Linked DNA regions of Macaca fascicularis. The protein of the gene in region 2 purifies or fractionates together with the protein of the main gene of each other region. This does not show direct contact. Links are inferred from orthologs where the notes say so. Each region holds a gene or a part of one and is shown on either strand. Other genes may lie near its edges.

Region 1 (10,410 bases), on a different chromosome or scaffold from region 2:
TGGCACAGCCTTCTCAGTCTTACTCTCCTGTCCCGGACAACTGTCCTCCAGATCTGTCACTATCCAAAGGGTCCTAGGACAGGCAGTCACTAGATACTTCTCCCAGCCACTAAGTTGTGACTGGGGAACTTTACTCTTTTCACATGCCTTTCTAATTATGCCTGAAAGCCCACTCCTTTGTTAGGGAAAGACATCCTAGCAAAAGCAGGGGCCATTATACACCTGAACATAAGAGAAGGAACACAGTTGATTGTCCCCTACGTGAGGAAGGAATTAATCCGGAAGTTGGGCAACAGAAGGACAATATGGACGAGCAAAGAATCCTGTCCCATTCAAGTTAAACTAAAGGATTCCGCCTCCTTTCCCTACCAAAGCCAGTACCTGCTTAGACCTGAGGCCCAACAAGGACTCCAAAAGATTGTTAAGGACCTAAAAGCCCAAAGCCTAGTAAAACCATTCAATAACCTTAATTACACCTACAAAGTTCTTTTTTCCATGCAAAGTAACATTAACAAATTTCAAGGATTAGGAGGACATGGACATTTTTGATGAGTCAGTCATTCTATGCCACACTCTTGTATTTTACATCTACCTTATTTTTGGATTTCATTCTTACTTTTCTGAAGTACATATTTCAGAAAGAGTATATGATAATTGAACTTTCTGAACTCTTTATTATGTACTCGCACTTTATTTTTTGTTCTGACAGGAAATAGAGTTCTAAGTTCAAAATAATTTTCAGTTACAATTTTAAAGGTATTATCTTTTGGTATCTAAAGTTTCTGATGAGAAATCTGATACTAGCTCAGTTCTTATTCTTTTATAAAAGGTCAGATTCTTGTGTCTGGAAGCTTTTAGGCCTTTTTATTTTTGATGCTCTGAAATGTCTTCTTTATGTGTCTAGGTGTGTTCTTTTACTATTATTTTGCTCAGTATTAAATGTGTTCTATCAATTTAGAGACCTGTATTTCAGTTCCTTGAAATATCTTTTCAATGTCTGATATTTTTCTCCTCCTCCTCTTGTTGTTCTCTTTCAGAAATTATTAGTCAAATAATGAATTAGTCTTCCATATTTTTTTCCAAAATTCTCCATGTTTTTGTTTGAATACTGCAGGTTCTGTGATATTTTTTCAATTAAATCATCTTGCCATTTTAATTTTTACATTCATATGTTTATTTTCAACAGACTTTTCTTATTATCTGATGTTCCTTTTTCAGAGTATTTTGTTCTCTAATATTTTCTTGAGTACTTCTTAGGAAGCTTATTATTATTAATTTCTTATTATTTTATTTTGGTTCCTTAGCTGACTCAGAGTCTTCCTGAAATAGTTTTTAGTTTCACCTTTCATGTTGTTGATTTTCACATCTCTGATGGTTTTTCATTCTTCATTCATTTTAAAGACTTGGGCCAGGTGCAGTGGCTCACACTTGTAATCCCAGCACTTCAGGAGGCCAAGACGCAAGGTGGGAGGCTGCTTGAGCCCAGGAGGTTGAGTGAGGTTGCAGTGAGCTATGATCTATGCCCATGTCACTGCACTACAGCCTGGGCAACAGAGAGAACCCCTGTCTCTAAAAAAGGAAAAAAAAAAAAAAGAGTGGAGTTCTAGATAGAGGTAGAGACAAAATACTGGGGAGAGGAATCTGGAGGAATGGAAGTACAGTGGTTTCCTAAAGAGGTTTTAAATTGGCATTTTGTATTTAGCCCCCTTCTCATTTCACCTTCTACTGTAAAAGAGAACTCCATTCCTGGAGTCTCTCTGGGACTTTGCCAGGCAGATCAACTCTCTGTGAAACATCAGTCACCTCCGGAAAAATTATGGGATGCCACTTCCGTGATCTGTTTCATTTGTCAACAAGTTTCCACATTTCTTTTGATCTTTCCAATAATTTTTGAAATACCTAGTCTGCTGATGGCCCCTCTCCAGGTCACTTCAGCTTAACAAATTTATTGGCTAGGCATGGGAACTAATTCCTGTAATCTCAACACTCTGGGAGCCTGAGGCTGGAGGATCACTTGAGACCAGGAGTTCTAGACCAACCTGGGCAACATAGCAACATAGTGTAAAATTAAAAAAAAATTAGCTGAGCATGATGGCATGCTTCTGTAGTCCTAACTTTTCAGGAGACTGAGGAGGGAGGATCCTTTAAGCCCAGTTCGAGGTTACAGTGAGCTATGCCACTGTACACCAGCGTGGGTGATAGAGGAACTCTTGCTTTATTACGGCTTTAGGAGGCAGACTAAACACTCATGTCTCTACCTTCTCAAAGCAGAAATTTTTATTTACATTTGCTGTCTCTGGAATTTCTGGTCTGATTACCATTGTACCAAATACATTTTACTGTCCCATAGAGGAATTTTTGTATTATTATTCTTTTTCACAGTTTAGTAAGCTATTTTTATGCAACTGTTGTTGGATCTTTGGAATAATTTTGTTCAAGAAAAATGAGAATTTTGATTGCATCGAATTTAGATTTAAATGCGTGTAATCACCTGTCTTATCTTTAGAAATAGATGATCCGACCCCAAATTTCAGCACAGCAGTTTTCCATCTAGAGATTTGTCTGACTCCTGTGAAGCAAGAAGTGGTTGTCACTAGTTCTCACTAAATATAATAAAAGTGATCCGTGTAAATTCCCTGTCACTCTTAAAAGGATACCCTATTGAAAACATGTTAAAATCTGTTTGCCCAAATTATTTGCTTATAAAACTCACTCTGAGACCAAAAGCATCTCACAAAATTCTAGTGTTTCAGGAATGAGGTTTGAGAAACACTGGTGTTTAAGTATTTTGCCGATCATATTTTAAAAAGTATTTTCTAAACCCACTTTATATCCTAGTAGAAAAAGTGTTGCCTATTATTCAGTGCCCTTTTGACACTGAGATGATTTCCTTAACACTATATTTAACACAGATTTATATTTTGAATTATCTTTGCACTTAACAAAAACAACAAAAAACTCAATTTGGTTATAGAGAAATGCCCCTTTAAGACAGTATCAAACTGATTTTGCTAACATCTAGGAATTTTGCACTTAAATTCACAAATGAACATCAAATATGAGTCAGGCACTGGGGATACAATGGTGAGCAACATGTATAGCCTTCATCATCACTAAGCTTACACTGAGTGACTTTAAATGTTCTTTTAGGATGTTAAATATTATGGCAGCTTCAAAAATTAAGCTAAGAAGCTCTCCATCATTTTCTATTACTTGAGTTTAAAGCACAAGATTTAGCTCTTAGGATTTTTACCCATAAATCTGAGTGGGCTGGAGGCTTTTTATTTGAGGGTACAGAAATTTGGCATCTTTTTTTCAGTCCTGTCTGTAGTTATTGACTTAATTCAGTTTTCCATCTTTTTTGAGTTATGTTTTCCTTGAAAAGTGACTATTTCATTTTCTATTAATATTTATTGGCAGTATAAAATTGTATAAAATATTTTAATAATTTTTAAACCTCCCTTTTGTTAAATTACTAACCTTACTAGTGGCACTATTCCTTTTCTTGTTACATTTCCTGTCTTTGAATTTCACTGGTATTGCCAAAAAGCAGCTTTATACCAGACTATGAGCACTTTATCAATTTGACCAGTTTCCTTTTAAAACGTTGTTCTCAAACTTTACTAATTTCCTCTTCCTAATTTCAATTATACAATTTTGTTCTTCATTTCTAACATCTTCAAATAAATGCCTGGTCTATTTTTATTATTTCTTATTTAAAATAATGTTCTCCTATAGTTTGGTCTGTGTCTTAAAATGTTAACATATAGTTTTTTTCAATATCACTATGTTCTAGTAATTACAATTTCTCTTTCCTTTTAGACTCAAAGGTGATTTATAAAGGTACTTTAAAATTTAAAATACGAACAAAATAAAAGTTCCGCTTTTGTTTTTTAGGGGTGCTATCCCTTAGCTAATTTTTAGCTTGTTCTATCATACTATCTTTACTTGTGCAAATTTAGCCCATCCTTGTAGGTCTAACGTTTATGCCACCTCTTTAGGAAGCCTATCTTGTGCTCTCTCCCTTCTCTAAAATTTTATATACATCCCTTAAACATATGTTTACATATTCTCCGCCTTCAACTCCCATTCTCAGGCTATTTTATTCCCGTTTATGAGATTTGCTGTTTAGCTCAGTATTTTGTGGGTTTTCAAAAGATTCCACTCAATTTACCGAGCACCTATGCACCAGACATTTTATTAGGTACAAGGAAAAGCGTTAAATAGATATAATCACGGCCTTCAAGAAATTGAACCTGGTAAGGGAGACGAATAAGTAGACATTCAAGTGAGCTTTAGGAGACTTGGTTTGGTAGTGAATACAGTCTCACGTGTATTAACAATTTACAGCACCGTAAAATAAGAGACAGAAGCCAACAAATCCGTTTCAAACAGTTCAAAGGAGGAAAAGGAGAGGGAAGGGCGGTTTAGATACAGCATCACCATAAATAGCCTGATAATCTAACCCTGTGATAATCCAAGTATAGTCACAGCACCTGCCTCAGAATCACTTGGAAGGCTTGTGAGGAATACAAACGCAGATTCATACCTACTGAAATTAGAATGGAGAAAGGGGCATTTAAGTCTGCATTTTAAACACATTCCCCAGGTACTGAAGCCATCCAAAGTTTTAGAACAGAGCACAGCCACGCTTCGCAGACCTTGTTCCTCAACTACTGCCTCCTTCTAGCCGGAGGGTGGCCTGCAGCGTGTCCCTTCCCTTCCCACCGTCCAAGTTATCCATCTAGTTTTCGAACGTCGGCCCACAGACCGCAGGACAATACGCGAGAGACTAGGAGCACCCACCACGCAAACCACCACACAGGGATCGGAGGCCGGACCCGCAAAGGATTCGGGGAAAAAGGCATCAGGCCAATCCGAAGGGCGAGAGCGGCCCTAGGAATGGAGGGGCGGGGTGGGTGGCGGGGGGGGGGGGGGGCGGGGAGAGAGAGGTTTTTTTTTTTTCTTGATTGACGTAAAGCGTACCCAATGAAAATAAAATTGGTAAAGCTTCCGCCATAATGGGCAGAACCATAGCGACATTTCAACCAATCCAGCTCAAAAGTGTCTATGTTGTGGGAGGTCCCTGAGGCCGCTGAGGTCGTTCGTGTCTGTTGAACGGTTGTGGGAGTCTTGCTGCTTTGGGTAGGGGGTTAAAATCGTTTCTTGAGAGGAACGACTCTATCCGAAGAGATAATGAGTTTAGCTCTGAGGTCGGTAATAAGGAGGCGGCAGTGCTCTCCACACCCCGGAGCGGGACCTAGGGAGGGTGTGTGTGGAAGGGAGGCCGTTTGGGGCCGTGGCGAGGCAGGGGATGCTGTTTGGGATGCGGGAAAGGAGCCTAGGGCAGCCTGTCTGGATCACTCACCCTCTGGGCTCTGGTGCCCTGCAGGGAACGAGACTTCCAGTGCATTTCTACTAAGGAGGTTATTTCTGTCAGCGCGTAGGGCTTTGGACTACCAAAAAAATGGGCTTAGTTGCGAGCGAGGGGGAGGGAATGAAATATCGCGAGGCTTCTACTCTGTTGCTCTGAGAGATCAGGCCGCGGAACATCCCTTCATTCAATTCGTATGCCTGGCCAGGGCCCCACCTCCGCTGCTCTGCTGCTGATGCAATCATCCACCTATAAATTTTGGAAATAACAAAAAACTCTTTGCTATTCTCCCAAGGTCCTGCTTTACGGTGTAATTAGAAACCCATTTTAGTGACTAATTGGCAAACTGTCTCTTGGATTTCCTGTTTCTTTCATTTCTTTACCTTTCAGTTCTAACCTCTAACCCTCTGTCTGTTACCCGCTCCCCCTACGTAGACGTTGTACCGTAAAACTATACATATACTTAGGACACTCTAAAAATGTTCCATGTTCTGCTAAGGGATAATCATGGTACCCTTGGATGGGGTCAGGGGTGGGTCGGTTCTGGACTTGGCCTCTAAAAGTCTCAGGAAGGAAAAGACTGACCCCAGGAATACCCAAGTTTGTGTCAAGTCAGGTCTCATGAAAGGAAGATCTTCCTCAGCTTTGTCATACTGCATCTACTGGTCACTTCCTAGCCTTTTTTTTTTTTTTTTTGTAGCGTTCAGAGACCAAAACGACTTTCAAATGCAGCTAGATACGTGTTTTAAATACAGTCAACTGGTTTTGACATGTTAATGTGTTACCAGATTGTGTGTTTCAAAACTTGTTCTTATACCAGTGTTGCGGCTCCATTGGAAAACTTGGAGCACATTTAGATGGGCAGCTCTTACGGAAAACATTTCTGGCTTTAAAGTAATTTTTGCTTTTTTCTTTAAGCGTTTCCAGAGTTTATGAGAAGTTTAACCTCCAGTTTACATCTTAAGTGAGATAAGACTTATGAAGCACAAATATTGTATACTTTTTTGACATCTAATATTTGTCATATGTTTAGACTCATTAATATTTTGGGTGATTTGTTAATATCAGTGGAGGAAATGACACATAAATTGCCAAACTGTTAGAAACGTGTAATCTAAAAACATTTTGAACCAACAGTCCCAAAATATAAGTTAATCCAGTTGTATTTTTTGTAGTAATTTTATGAACTTAATTATCAGAACTATCAAAAGTAAACCGATATATGGTGATTGTCAGTTACGAATTTTGGTTTCATTTGGAGATTTTTTGGTTTCTTTAACATTCTTGTAGAATAATGTGAGTGTTTTTGTTTTTTTTTTGGTTGGAGTTGGTTGGAGTTTCAGACATAAACGTAATGTTGCTTATTCACAGTTCTTGAATAAATAAAAAGTTAGGGAAAGTGGGAATAAATAAAAAGCTGGGAAAAGGAAAAGTTTGGTCCTCATTTCTTTTAATAATCTGTAACACTCTTTAGTTTTGGGAAGTTCATATTTATAGCAATTTAGACTATGGAATAAACAGGGCATTGACTCATAAAGGGAAAGTTTCCCTGTCTTTCTCCAAAGTACTTTCTTTTTTGAAATTTAGAAAATAATTATTGGCTAATTTCTGTTAGTAAAGAGAATTAAAGTGGACTAAGGGCTTTTTCTTTCCATTTCATAGAAGTGAGCTTGTAGTAGACAAAACAAAGAGGAAAAAAAGAAGAGAACTGTCTGAGGAACAGAAACAAGAAATTAAAGATGCTTTTGAACTATTTGATACAGACAAAGATGAAGCAATAGATTATCATGAATTAAAGGTAATGGTATACTTTAAAATACTTGTTTCTGTGTTAAAATGATTTGCATTTTGACAGTTGCTTTACATTACATTTCTAAGTAATTATTTTAACTAAATTGGTTTTGGAACTATGAAGGCATTTTAAGCATTCATAGTTAGATTCTATAATAATACTGAATAGAACTCCTAACACAGTTTTTAGAAAATCTTTTTCACGTGATAAAACGAATAGCATTTTAAATGTAACAATACATTCCTAGGGAAGGTGCTTATTTTTCACTGACATAATTAAAGGATTTCAAACTGGAATTTAAACTATTACCATATTCTTTTCACTGTTTTTTTTGTTTTTGTTTTTGTTTCTTGGTGACTCATACTGTTTTCAGATTGTGGGATTGTTGTCTTTTAATCTTATAATTTGTATTTGTTAGTAACATAGTCTCAATCCACTTTCTGTGGTACAGACAACTTCAGTGCTGTTTGATGTTGACACATGCTAGTAGGTAAAAATGTCAACTTTAAGACCTAGAATGTCAAGGTGTAGAGAGGGATTTGTAAATTATTATTTGTCAGGGTATAAGGAGAGATTTGGGTTTAGGGTTGAGTGGGACTTACTTTCAGCACAGTGGGAAAGATAGTATTTTGAGATTTTTAATAGCCTTAATGGATAGGTGAATGTAAGTGTTTATTTGATAGTTTTAATTTTTGTAATTTCTTAAGGGATTTTTAAGCATTAGAATTCCAAGTAGGGATACGAACTATGCAGTGACAGTATAGAATGTATAAAAACAATTAATAGGCCTGTAAGTCTAGCTTTCTCAATCTTGCAGTCCTCTTTAGCTCTCTTTTCCCACTGTTTTTTGTTTTTGTTTTTTGGTTTTGGTTACCCAGATTTGATCAATTCTTCCTTTATAGTGTCTCTTCCATTAGTAACCATTGACTGGTTTCAGACCTTATTTCATACCTGGAGCTTCCTAAATGGTTTGTCTACTTGTAGTTCACCTTGTATACTACTACCACTGAATTTAGATAGTTTAAAAAATCTTTCACCATTGCTTATAAATTGTTCGTTGCTCATAAGCCTTTACTATTAATAACTCCTCATTATATACTACTTAAAGTTCAGATTCCTTTGCTTTCTACTGAATGTTCTCTACACTTTTGCCACCAACTACTTTTTTCATTTGCTAACTGCTTTCTTCCTCCCAAACTCTTCTAATTCACGTGGAATTCACCTTCTAATCCAGGTGAGCAGTTTATCTCACCTGAACTCTTCTAATTCAGGTGAGGTAAACTGCTCTGTTCGTTGTCCTTCAAACCTATTGTTCATTTCAGTGTTTCTTTTAATACTAGTCATCCTTCCCAAATGCCCTACTGCTCCTCTTCATCTGTCCTTCAAGGAACAACTTGAATCTTTCCAAATAAGACTTACCTAGTCAGTAACATGTTTCCTTCCTTGTTACTAGTAACAAAGTCTCTTTTTTGTCTAAACTCAGGGTCCTTCGCCCTATTATTAACCTAATAACTAATCATGGAGATGCTGATGATAATTCTTATTTTAATGTTTTATCTCTTCTATCATATAACTTTAATATTTATGCTATGCCTTTTTCTCATTTTGGTTGTTATTCCCGTGATAACAAATAGCAGTCAAATTATCTGTGCAGTAAGTTAGTGCATTTTATATAGTAAACACTTGTTGGTTACTTTGTCATATAAAAATGCAATTTATAAATGAAAAAACTTATACATAATTTCAGTAGTGAAGAACAATTACACTGTCACTACTATTTTAAAGAGGTAAAACATGCAAAAAAGTTATATTTTACTAATGTGTTTTTATCTCTTAAGATGTAAAAACTTAATAATTAGAAATTCTTTTGTAAAGATTGCTTTATAATTTGCTTTTCCCTTTTAATCCAAAAGGTGGCAATGAGAGCCTTGGGGTTTGATGTAAAAAAAGCTGATGTACTGAAGATTCTTAAAGATTATGACAGAGAAGCCACAGGGAAAATCACCTTTGAAGATTTTAATGAAGTTGGTGTGTATTTTAATAGTCTTTGTAATCAGCAGCTGTTAGGAAATTGTCTGATTAATATGACTTTTTAAATTTTAAATTCTCTAGGTTATGGAATTTTCTTATAGAACACTGGTGTATAATGTGACTCTTACTCAGTTTTGTTTGGGTTATTTTACTTTTTTCATTTTCAAAGAAAAAATATGGCTTTGCTCTGAGATTTATAGTTTTGTCTTTTGTTTTGTTGTGAAGATTCTAGCCAAGGAACTACTGTGTAGCTTTTTATGGAAAGATGCTTTTCCAAGTTATTTGTATTTATATTATGTGATAAAACTTGAAGGGTGATCAAAAAATTATTTTTGCTCAGTAAAACAGAAAATTTGATATCCTGCTGTTTGGAAAATGTTTCCCAAGACCTTTCTGGTATGTGATTTTTGCTGGCTAAGTGGGAGAAGAGGGAACTGGTAGTAGTTGGTATCTTTGGCCCTAGATGAAATGCGTGACTTCAGGTTGACAAAGTTTATGAGAGGCTACATCCTCTGGATGACCTTGATCTTAGTGGATAAAGTCATCTGTTTAGAGGGTAGTAGTAAAGGAGGCAGTGGGCATACTGCAAGCAGGAGAAAACATCCTGGTACCACCAACTGAAGATAATGTGTCATAGGCTTAATATGGCTAAATTTTTGTGTAGTTGATTTTAGTGAATTATTTATAGCATACATAGAGCAGGCTTTTTCAAAATAGAAGAGTCTGGAAGGCAAGGGCGTTACTATTGTCTAGGATATTACCTACAAAATATATAAATATTCAGGTTTATTTCTATTTTTTTCCCCCTAAACCAATGGGTCACGATATAAGCACATCATATAAGTATTTTAAGATATTTGGAAACAAATTCTGTTATATACACAAACCCCTTCTTTTAAATATTCATCAAGAAGCAATATGGGAAGCAAAAAGAAATGGCAATTAGTATACGCAGAGAAAATTTAGATTCATGTCATTAGTTTTTTGAATCCAAACGCTCAAGTCAAAAGCAGTTGAGATGGAAAATAAATGATAAACCTAAAAGAAAAAATACAGCACAGAAGATACTCAACTTACGAACTAATATATGACTGTTTAGAGAGGCAACTTGTCTGTTGGGGACATTTTCCTTTTTTTCCTCTAATTTGTAGAATTTTTTATTTGAGGAGAAGGAGAGAGCCACCTTTTGTTCTCCCAGAATGGACACTCTCCT
Region 2 (10,310 bases):
TCTACTCTAGACCCAGTGAGGCAAACCTAGTAATCTGTTCCTGCAGTAGCCTTATTTCCTATAAGAGGAAAGATGTATGGACACCAATACACAAAAGCCAGTCTTTGATACATGCCTCCCATTCAGGAAAATGTCTGTGGTCTGCCTTCATCATTGTTGCTGGACTGCACCTGAGCTTGGAGATGGGTTTCTGAGATTCTTGCATTGCCCTGCACTGTTCTTTGAGTGTAAAAAAGGATGTAGGCCTGGGTTTTGCACACTTCCTCGACACTGCATACATTCAGCTTTGAGTCATTGCAGTGGACCCAAAAACCTAGGAAACCAAAGGAGAAAAAGAGAGAAAATGACTACCCAATTCATATTTCTAGTCAGCAGGCAAAATCAGGAGATGAAGAAAGGGACAGAGAAGTTCTGAATAGAGCCAACCCTCGATTATTGGTGGGGGAAGGGACAAGTAAATGAAACCGACAGACTTCTGTGTATCCACTGGCTTTAACCCCACCAAACCCCACAGTACCGCTTATCAACTGACTGCAATTTTTTTTTTTTTTTTTTTTTTTGAGATGGAGTTTTGCTCTGTCGCCCAGGCTGGAGTGCAGTGGCGGGATCTCGGCTCACTGCAAGCTCCACCTCCCGGGTTCATGCCATTCTCCTGCCTCAGCCTCCCGAGTAGCTGGGACTACAGGCGCCCGCCACCACACCTGGCTAATTTTTTGTATTTTTAGTAGAGACGGGTTTCACCATGTTAGTCAAGATGGTCTCGATTTCCTGACCTCGTGATCCGCCCACCTCGGCCTCCCAAAGTGCTGGGATTACAGGCATGAGTCACCACGCCTGGCCGACTGACTGCAATTTTTATCTTTGTTTTCTTCAGGCTTTTTTATTGTCCACTAGAGCCTTCTAGAAAGATAGCTGCAATACTGCAGGCTAAGCAATGGGGAGATGAGGAGGAAGATGAGGAGGAAGAGGAGGAGGAGAGGAGAAATGGAAATAGAGGGGAGTGATAAAGGAAAATTTAGAAGGAACAAAAGTATTTATTCACAGGCTCTGGCTGCCCCAAGGGCTGTGCAGTTCAAGAACAGTGAACAGCTGAAAACACATCTGCAGCCCATCAGTCAGTGCAGTAGCTGGAAGACTCCACTCTGGAGGATGAGGACCTAAAGCACCTTTGGAGGGGCCCTTGCATCCCCACACTTCCCATGGCGGGGGAAGTAGTAAGAACATAGTAAGTGCTCAGTAAATGTTCTCAGCTTTATAAGCTGCGGCTAGTGAGATTTATACAGTATCTCCTTGAGGTTACACAGGTTCTACTGTTTCTGCATAACCAAGAAGGAAACTGGGGTGTGCAGAAGTAGCATTACCACAACAATAGTAATATTATCAATAACCAATATTTTTGATAATACTACAATATCCTCAAACAGTGACTGAATAAGCACTATGTGCTAGGCAACTGCTCTTTTTATTTATTTATTTGAGTCAGGATCTCACTCTCTTGCCCAGGCTAGAATGCAGTGGTGAAATCACAGCTCATTGCAACTTCAAACTCCTGGGCTCGAGCAATTCTCCCACCTCAGCCTCCCAAGTAGCTAGGACCACAGGTGCACACCATTACGCCTGGGTAAGTTTTTACTATGTTGCCCAGGCTAGTCTTGAACCCTTGGCCTCAAGCAATCCTCCCGCCTCTGCCTCCCAAAGTGTTGGAATTACAGGCGTGAGCCATTGCACAGGGCCTAGGTCCTGTTCTAAGCACTTTTACATGTCAGTTCCTTTTAATTCTTAGAACAACCATACGTTGTTACTTAGTAATATACCCAAAATTTGAATCCAACTTTCATAATTCTTTTTTTCTTTTTGAGATAAGAGTCTTGCTCTGTCACCCAGGCTGAAGTGCAGTGGCATAATCTTGGCTCACTGCAACCTCTGCCTCCCAGGTTCAAGCGATTCTCCTGCCTCAGCCTCCTGAGTACCTGGGATTACCAGTGCCCGCCACCACTCCCGGCTAATTTTTGTACTGTTTTAATAGAGACAGGGTTTAACCATGTTGGCCAGGCTGGTCTCAAACTCCTGACCCCAGGTGATCCACCCACCTCAGCCTCCCAAAGTGCTGGGATTACATGTGTGAGCCACGGCGCCTGACCCAACTTTCACAATTCTTGCCATTGGATTTTCATGTATGTAATTTCCCTCTAGGTAATCCATGGGATGGAAATAAAAGGAAAACAATAAAATGTGGACAAATAACCCCTTTCCGTGTCCCCCACCCCACAGAGTAAAGCGCACGCACCTCCCTCTGTGTTGTAGCAATAGGCTGTGTAGTGTCCTGAGCCAAACCCTTTCCCGTGATGCATGACCACTGCGGAGAGATCATAGGCAAAGGTCTCTTTGTCAAGAGAGGAGAGCATGTCCCTGCAGCAGTAAGGTTCCATGGTTAATACCTGGTCAAAGACGACATGGACCCCAATCTTCTCTCGATGGTTACGGCCAGACCACCTAGAACATGGATATAAGCTTGTTACTAGTAAAAACCAGCATATACAATTGTAGGTAGAGGTAGGTATTAATAAAACAGGGAACTGAGAAAATTAAACCTTCTGGTTTTGGTCTTCCCATCAATAAAATGGTGGTAATCAATGTTCACATTTATTTATTTATTTATGTATTTATTTATTTATTTATTTACAGACAGGGTCTCACTCTGTTGCCCAGGCTGCAGTGCAGTGGTGTGATCAATAAAGGCTCACTGCAGCCTCAACCTTCCCAGGCTCAGGTGATCCTCCCACCTCAGCCTCCCAAGTAGGTGGGACTATAGGTGCACACCACCACGCCTGGCTAATTTTTGTATTTTTTGTAGAGACAAGGTTTTACCATGTTGCCCAGGCTGGTCTCGAACTCCTGAGCTCAAGCAGTCTGCCTACCTTGGCATCCCAAAGTGCTAGGGTTACAGTCATGAGCCACTGCGCCTGGCCCATTTATTTGCTGTGAATGTTCCATGAAGTACTCTAAACCTAGAGATCCCTAAACAAGCAATTCAAGCAACAGTCTTTTTGTAGTTTCCTGCCTGCCCTTCTTTTCCAGATTATTTTATATTTCATCCTGAAGATGAACCTCTACATAAGTCCAAGCCAGGCTAGAAAATCTTTAAGCACAGATACCCAGTGCAGGCTGGATAATTAATTACACAGGCGCATGACAGCAAAAGCCCAGTCCTGCTGGGCTCCCACATTAATTTGCCTTAGTGGATGTGAATGATTTAATCTCCATGGAAAACACAAGGTCTCAAGTGAACAGGCTTCCCCTCCCAACACCATAGAAGACATTTGCCCTCACCAAAGCCTTTGGAGCAGCTATTCCCACAGCTCTCACCCAGCTAGGACTCCCACAGCAAGCTCACCTGAATCTTTTAAGGTGCAGCCGGAGAACCTGAGGTAGTCTGTAGATCATTAACTGCTTTCTAGCTTCACTCAGAACAAGGGGTTTGGGATTGGATTTTCGTCGTTTGCCTATGTGGTTTGGGAAGGTATAAGACATAGGTTGTGAAGAGTTTTTTCTAGCTATGGCAGAGACAGTGACTTGCCATTCAATATGCATTCTCCATATTTCTAAGTACCTGAACCTCAATTTTTTGGGGAGTGCAATGTGACCCCCTTTATGACTGCATTTCCCGGCTTCACAAGCCTGCATGGTGTGGCCATGGAAGTTCTGGCTAAGATGAAAGGAATGACTGTATGGGACTCTGCTTATACAAGGCTGACTCACTTGTAAGGTGCATCCCTTTGGCCTTCCCACTATCTGAAACTACTGGAATTCCTCCTGGACCAAAAGGTAACTTTGAAGACAGAAGTCTTGCAACAGGATAGTAAAACAGAAAGACAGAAATAGCTTGGGTCAATGATGACCATGCAGCCACCATGCTGGCCCTGAATGTCCTTCACACTTGTTTTATGTAACAGAAAAATAATACCTCTCATTTTAAGTCACTGTTATTTGGGTCGACTGTTACAAGCAACTCAAATCTTTCCAATTTTTGCCATCAGGAACTTTGCGTATAATGGAATATAATGGAACGTGCAACAGCAAGCACACAGAGTAGAAGCATATGTTAAGGCTCCATGTCTTTACAATGGCTTATAACTTCAATTATGATACCCCACAATATGATTTTAAGAAGCTTTTTGTTTGCACTAGGTAAGCCTAATTCTACTTCCTGCTCACAACTAGTTGTGTGCTAATGGATAAGTTACTCAAAACTCTGAACCTCCGTTTCCTCACCAGTAAAATAGGGAATAATGCATATATTTCAGGCTTAGGAAAAAAAGGATAAGATTACTAAATGATAGAGTATTTAAACACATTTTTCTTTAGCATGATTTGCTTATGGCATATTCAAACATTTAGAAAATAAACTGTTGGTTCTATATTTTTATGCTGTGCCTAGTTTTTGAAACATATTTCCTAGATAAAAGCACATTGCTGGACATACAAGGACAAAGCTGACAGGTGGCTAAATTCATCTACTCCAAAGCAGAACTAGTGATCAGTCTCTAATTTTGTTTCTAAATGTGGGGGAAATGCATTTCTTGAACTGCTGGCCTCAAGCAGTCCTCCCACCTTGGCCTCCCAAAGTGTTGGGATTGTGGGTGTGAGCCCACTGTGCCCAGCCTTTAGGAAATGCATTTCTAAATTTCAGCAAATAAACAATGGAAACAGAGTTATCTTAGTTTCTATCAGAAGCCTTTCCTGTAACCATTTACTGATGGCTGTTTTGTTATATTAAACTGGTAAATGGATGAGAGTAGAAAATTAGTGTTCTATGGCAGTCTCTGCTAATTGTCTTGAGCTGTTGATATCATGGGCTCAGTGTCTGAAGAGCTGGGCATCTGATTCCCAGTCCTGTCTGTACTACTCATGAAAGGTAGCAAATCACAGCCAGATGATGTATCACAGAGCTTTCTGTGACAATAGGATGTGGAGGTGTAGCTTCTCATAATAGACTGCATCAGAATGAGTTGTGCCATAGGAGAAGCTTTTACCAGGGTGTGTAGTCACAATATGTGCTGGCATGAACAGAAATGGAATTCAAAGAGGGGCTTGGCCTTATTTTATATTCCTATTCACCATTTTTTTGAAAATTACTGCAGCTCTGGCTAGGAACCCTGGCAGTGACTACCACCCTCAGCAGAGGGAGTATGTGAGCTAAGATGAAGACAATATAGAGTCAGGCTTTGTTTCCCTAAAATGAAATTCACAAAGAAAAATAAATTACTGATTCAATTGAGATTGATCAGTTCTGTCTCCATTTCATTAAGCTGTCCAGGAAGACAGGTAGAAGACTGACAGTTTTGAAACTTCACAGGCAACAGATCAATGCATCTCATCTCCTCACCATAGGTTTCCTTCTCTGGCATTATTTGCACTTGCCTAGAGAAATCCTGATAAATTGGCACATCTGACAACCAAAGAACAATCCTTTCTTGTAAAGATAAACCAAAGTTATTTCTTGCCTAATCTATCATATCCAAAAATGATGGAGTTAAAGCTGTTAATATTCTTTTGTTCATTACAAGTAAAAGGCTTCAGGAATCATTGGGTTTTTTTGGTTTTTGTTTTTTTTTAATATTACTCTAATGAAACAATTTGATTCACCTGACTCTGTATCTCAAAATGGAACAGGATAGGTGAGTCTACAGTTAGCCAGGTATAAAATTTCAAATTTTCTTTTGAAATGGCAAAATGATATCGAGCATAACTTTGTGGGTTGTTTTTTTTTTTTTCTTTTTTTCCTAAAAGAGGTCTTGCTGTGCTACTCAGGCTGGTCTCAAACTCCTGGCTTCAGGCAATCCTCCTGCCTTGGCCTCCCAAAGTGTTGGGATTACAGGTATGAGCCACTGCACCTGGCCTCAAGCCTGACTTTTGATTTTTGTTCTGATTCTTCAAAGAGTGGAACAGGTTTCCCACAATTTAGCTTTTTTTTTTTTTTTTTTTGAGACAGCATCTGGCTCTGTCGCCCAGGCTGGAGTGCAATGGCGCCCACCTTAGGGCCTCCCAAAGTGCTGGGATTACAGGCATAAGCCACTGCACCTGGCCTAACATTTTTTTTTTCTTCAAAACTGGTAATCTAAACTATTATGTGACTGAAAATGGATTTCTAGGTCTCTGTACAATCCATTAACTTTATACTTTTAGTTTCCAAATCTATATATGCCACAACCCTCAAACATAAGCATCCACATATTTGCTCTGCATTTCGTCTGTCCATACTGGGTTAGCAGAAGCATTAAGTGTTAGTGTGGCAAGACGGAAGGGCCCTGTATAACACGCCTCTGTAACCATATGTAAAGAGTTCCATTTTAAAATTACAGACAACACAGAAATACTTCCTTATGACCCTCTCTGAAATGTGAACTTTTCAGGCATGTGAAGAATAAAAAAAATGCAGAAAATATTTCATGAAGCTGCCACTGAGCAATGTACCTTAAGACTTACTTTCTTGGTTCCACTGTACCAATCTTTAGCATCACTTTTGACAGACATTAAGTCTGCCAGTTCATTACAAAAGCATGCTTTTCTGATATCGCATCCCTCAGAAAGGCTATTCCATCTGGGTTTAGATTAAGTAAGAACTGTTGGACTCTACATTCATTAATTTACGCAGCAGCCCCATAGCACTAATAAGCTAAGTACTAACATTCCAGAGTCCCCATTTCAGGAGCCACACTTTAAAATCCCTTCCAAGATGACAACTAATGTCAATCAGGAGGTCAATCAACTCCTAGGTCTTTGTTTCATTTTTTGTTATTGTTGTTGTTGTTTTTTGAAACAGAGTCTCACTCTGTTGCCCAGGCTAGAGTGCAATGGCGTGATCTCGGCTCACTGCAGCCTCCACTTCCCGGGTTCAACCAATTCTCCTGCCTCAGCTTCCCGAGTAGCTGGGATTACAGGCACCTGCCACCACGCCCAGCTAATTTTTGTATTTTTAGTAGAGACGGGGTTTCACCATGTTGGTCAGGCTGGTCTCAAACTCCTGACCTCAAGTGATCCGCCTGCCTCAGCCTCCCAAAGTTCTGGGATTACAGACACGAGCCACCACGCCCAGCCTTGTTTTGTTTTTTAATACATAATTAAAACAAGTCCATGTATTTTGATTTTTAGAAAAATGGGAGGAAGAGATCTTTAAAAGATGCTTTAGAACCATTCAATATCATTAGTGTTACTTTTGACTAAAGAGGACAAAGCAGCACGTTAAACTGATATTCCAGTTATACTTCCCCACTACGCCCCCTCCTCCACACAGCACTCACTGTTACACTGGTCACAAGCGTAGATTCTTCCTTCCAGGGCCTCTGTCTCTGTGAACTTGGCCAGCATCTCAGTGAGCAAGCACTCTGTCTGATTCAAAGGGACAAACCCCTTTTCTATGCAGTGATAGCGTTCAGGGAATTCCAGGGATAGGTCCCAAAAGGGCTCAATGGTATTAGATTTGTAATTGCATGATATACATGTGACCTAGAATGAAAAGATTGATTTACAGATTATGTAACTTCCATGCTTCCTGCGTACAGTTTTACTTGCTTCATAAAAGACACACTTTATCAAAACTAAGTGTATAATTTTCAAAAAATAGTAATATTAAAATAATAAACATAATTTTAAAAGAATTAGAGTATATTACTTCTGATGTACATTTCTAACTATGGGATGCTAGCTGGAATTTAAAAACCATACTGCATAGAGACTATACCAACCCGCCTTTCTCCTCTCCCAAAATATGCTCTAACATTCAACAGTACAGTAGCACAGACTGCAAGTTATTATGCAGTCTCTCAAGGGATCAGTCTGATATAGAGAATCTGCAGGTCCCTGCCTACTTCCCTCACTCTGTAATTCCTCCTCTTGACTTTAGACCTTCCATAGAGCCCAGCACACCTCTCTTTTTGCCTTTGTTACTTGCAGAAGCCCTACACTGAACCCCTCTGTCTGCACAGCCTCAAAATGCTGTGATTAGACCTCCATTCCCATTATAACCTTCCCAGGTGCACCTTCCTAAGGGGAGGGGAGACAGAAGAAGTGCTAATAAATACTCCCCTTTTACATGCTCAAAAACAAAAACCTAATTAAATTTTCCCTTTCCATACCATTCATCATTCTTTCAAAACCCTAAAAACCAAGACACAAGCACAGTGTAGAGGTTTTACCTGAATCTCTTAAGTTGCCCACCAATCCGCCCCCCAACACGTTTTTTGTTTTTTGGTTTTTTTTTTTTGAGACAAAGTCTCCATCTATCACCCAGGCTGGAGTGCAATGGCGCGATCTCGGCTCACTGCAACCTCCGCCTCCTGGGTTCAAGCAATTCTCCTGCCTCAGCCTCCCAAGTGGCCGGGATTACAGGCATGCACCACCACGCCCGGCTAATTTTGTATTTTTAGTAGAGACGGGGTTTCACCATGTTGGCCAGGCTGGTCTCTAACTCCTGACCTCAGGTGATCCACCCCCCTTGGCCTCCTGAAGTGCTGGGATTACAGGCGTGAGCCACCGCGCCCGTCTTTTTTTTTTCAAACTATAAGAATACTCTTTCTGCATATTCTCATAAGGCCTTATCTCAGAATCTTTGCTTAGGTTACATGGCTAAAGATCCAGGAAATGTAATGGGGAACAGGAAGGAGGCTTGCATTGGTCTTTAGCATGCTCCTAGCTATCTTCCTTCCTTGTATGTAAAGAAGGGAGACAGCTCTTTCAAACTATTATGGAACCAGAGTTACAGGCAAAATCTGTTCCCTAAAATTGATCAAAGGATGGCACTCCAACAATGAGTACTTAATTATAACAATGAGAATATTATATTACCCATATCTTCAATAACAGTTAAAGATATTCACTGAAAATTAAGCAATGTGGCAAGTTAAACTAAAAATCTGGCCGGAAAGACACTAGGCAAGTTTCCCCAAAAAGCCATCATAATGTACAGTAGAATAAAAGGTACAATGGCCACCCTCAAAAATGCATAATCACAGCAAATGTTGGCTACTCTTATTAGCCCAATAACCAGGGGAAGGCACTCACAGGAAGCCCAAACTAACATACAAGCCTCTCATTGTCATGGTAGGCACACACATACCTGACTGAGCAGCTGCCCATGAAATATGGTATTCACCACCTTTAACACCTGTTTGGTGAGCTTCCTCTGGGAGAAAGGGATGAGGATCCGGCGTGTGGTGCCCTCAGACTCGAGTTCCTGCTGCACCTTGTGCAGCAGCTCACAGAGAAATTCCTGCGCGTCCTGTTGGTCGTAGCCGCGGAAGGCAGGGATTAGGCTCCACACTGAGTGGAGCATGGCGAAGGGCGACACTAGGGCCCACTTCCCGGACCACATGACTCGGAAGAGGGTGTGCAGTTCACGGCAGAGGGAAATGTGCTTCGAGCTTGGCTCCTTGTTCTGGATGAGCTCCAGGCTCCGACTAATGGAGGCCCCGCCGTTCCAGCAGAAGCCCTCCCGCTCGCATGCCTCGGCCCTGTCACTCCTCAAGGACAGCTCTGTGGCTGAGCTGTTGGTTGGCTTGCCAGAAAGCTGAGTCTTCCCGTTGGTGGCTTTGGGAAACAGATGTTCCGTTTTGGAAGGGTCAAGGTTGAGGAAACATTCTCGGAACTTCTGGAGGTGGCTGAGCACCTGGAGGATGGAGTTCATGTAGCAGGTGTTGCCCAGGTTGCGCAGGCCCGTGACGCCCGGGGCCACGGCAGGCTGGCGACGCAGCTTGAGCGTGGCGGCGGGCGCTCTGCGTGAGGTAGGGAGGGTGGTGGGGCGCGAGGCGGCCGGGCCCGCGTCGCTAGGCGTGTGCAGGAGCAGCCGTGCACTCTTACGCGGAGGGGCGCTGGCCAGCTCCTCCAGCAGCCGCCGTTTCACCTCGCGCCGCCGCCTCCGCGCTTCCTCCTTCTTGCGCTCCAGCGCCTCCTCCTGCCGCCGCTGCTCCAGCTTCGCCTGGCCCCGGGAGCTCTTCTCGAACCACAGCCGCAGCGTCCTGGCCAGCAGGCGCTGGCGCCGGTACCACAGAGCGGTGAGCATCTGCGGCTGTCCCTGAGGAGCGCGCTGCGGCGGGACCACGTCCTCACCCGAAGCCGTGGACCGCAGCGTCCGCCCGCGTCTCACCAGCGTGTCCTGCTTCTGGCCCCGGACCGCCAGGAGGGAGCTTCTTAGCAGCTTCAGGTCGCCCTCTGGGTTATCATTGAGCACGTAGTCCTTGCACAGGTAACAGAACACGTAGAGATCCCGGACTTCCATGGCTAGCGGGTGTCCAGTCTCTTCAAAGTGTTTCAGG

The links.
Region 1: the proteins of USP49 (region 2) and CETN3 purify together in Homo sapiens (affinity purification with mass spectrometry; 4 studies listed by BioGRID and IntAct, with this or other methods). This does not show direct contact. The link is inferred for Macaca fascicularis from reciprocal best matches to the Homo sapiens genes USP49 and CETN3.

The regions. Positions count from the first base shown.
Region 1 is NC_088380.1:94,403,074-94,413,483, reverse strand, and holds the start of CETN3 (centrin-3), read left to right. Parts: upstream 1-5,070; 5' UTR 5,071-5,196; coding exon 5,197-5,213; intron 5,214-7,036; coding exon 7,037-7,172; intron 7,173-9,079; coding exon 9,080-9,194; intron 9,195-10,410. UniProt on the Homo sapiens protein: Plays a fundamental role in microtubule-organizing center structure and function. As a component of the TREX-2 complex, involved in the export of mRNAs to the cytoplasm through the nuclear pores.
Region 2 is NC_088378.1:129,764,384-129,774,693, reverse strand, and holds part of USP49 (ubiquitin carboxyl-terminal hydrolase 49), read right to left. Parts: coding exon 9,116-10,310; intron 7,507-9,115; coding exon 7,302-7,506; intron 3,504-7,301; coding exon 3,395-3,503; intron 2,494-3,394; coding exon 2,288-2,493; coding exon of another isoform or gene 2,190-2,287; exon of another isoform or gene 2,007-2,189; intron 314-2,006; coding exon 123-313; 3' UTR 1-122. UniProt on the Homo sapiens protein: Deubiquitinase that plays a role in several cellular processes including transcriptional regulation, cell cycle progression or innate immunity.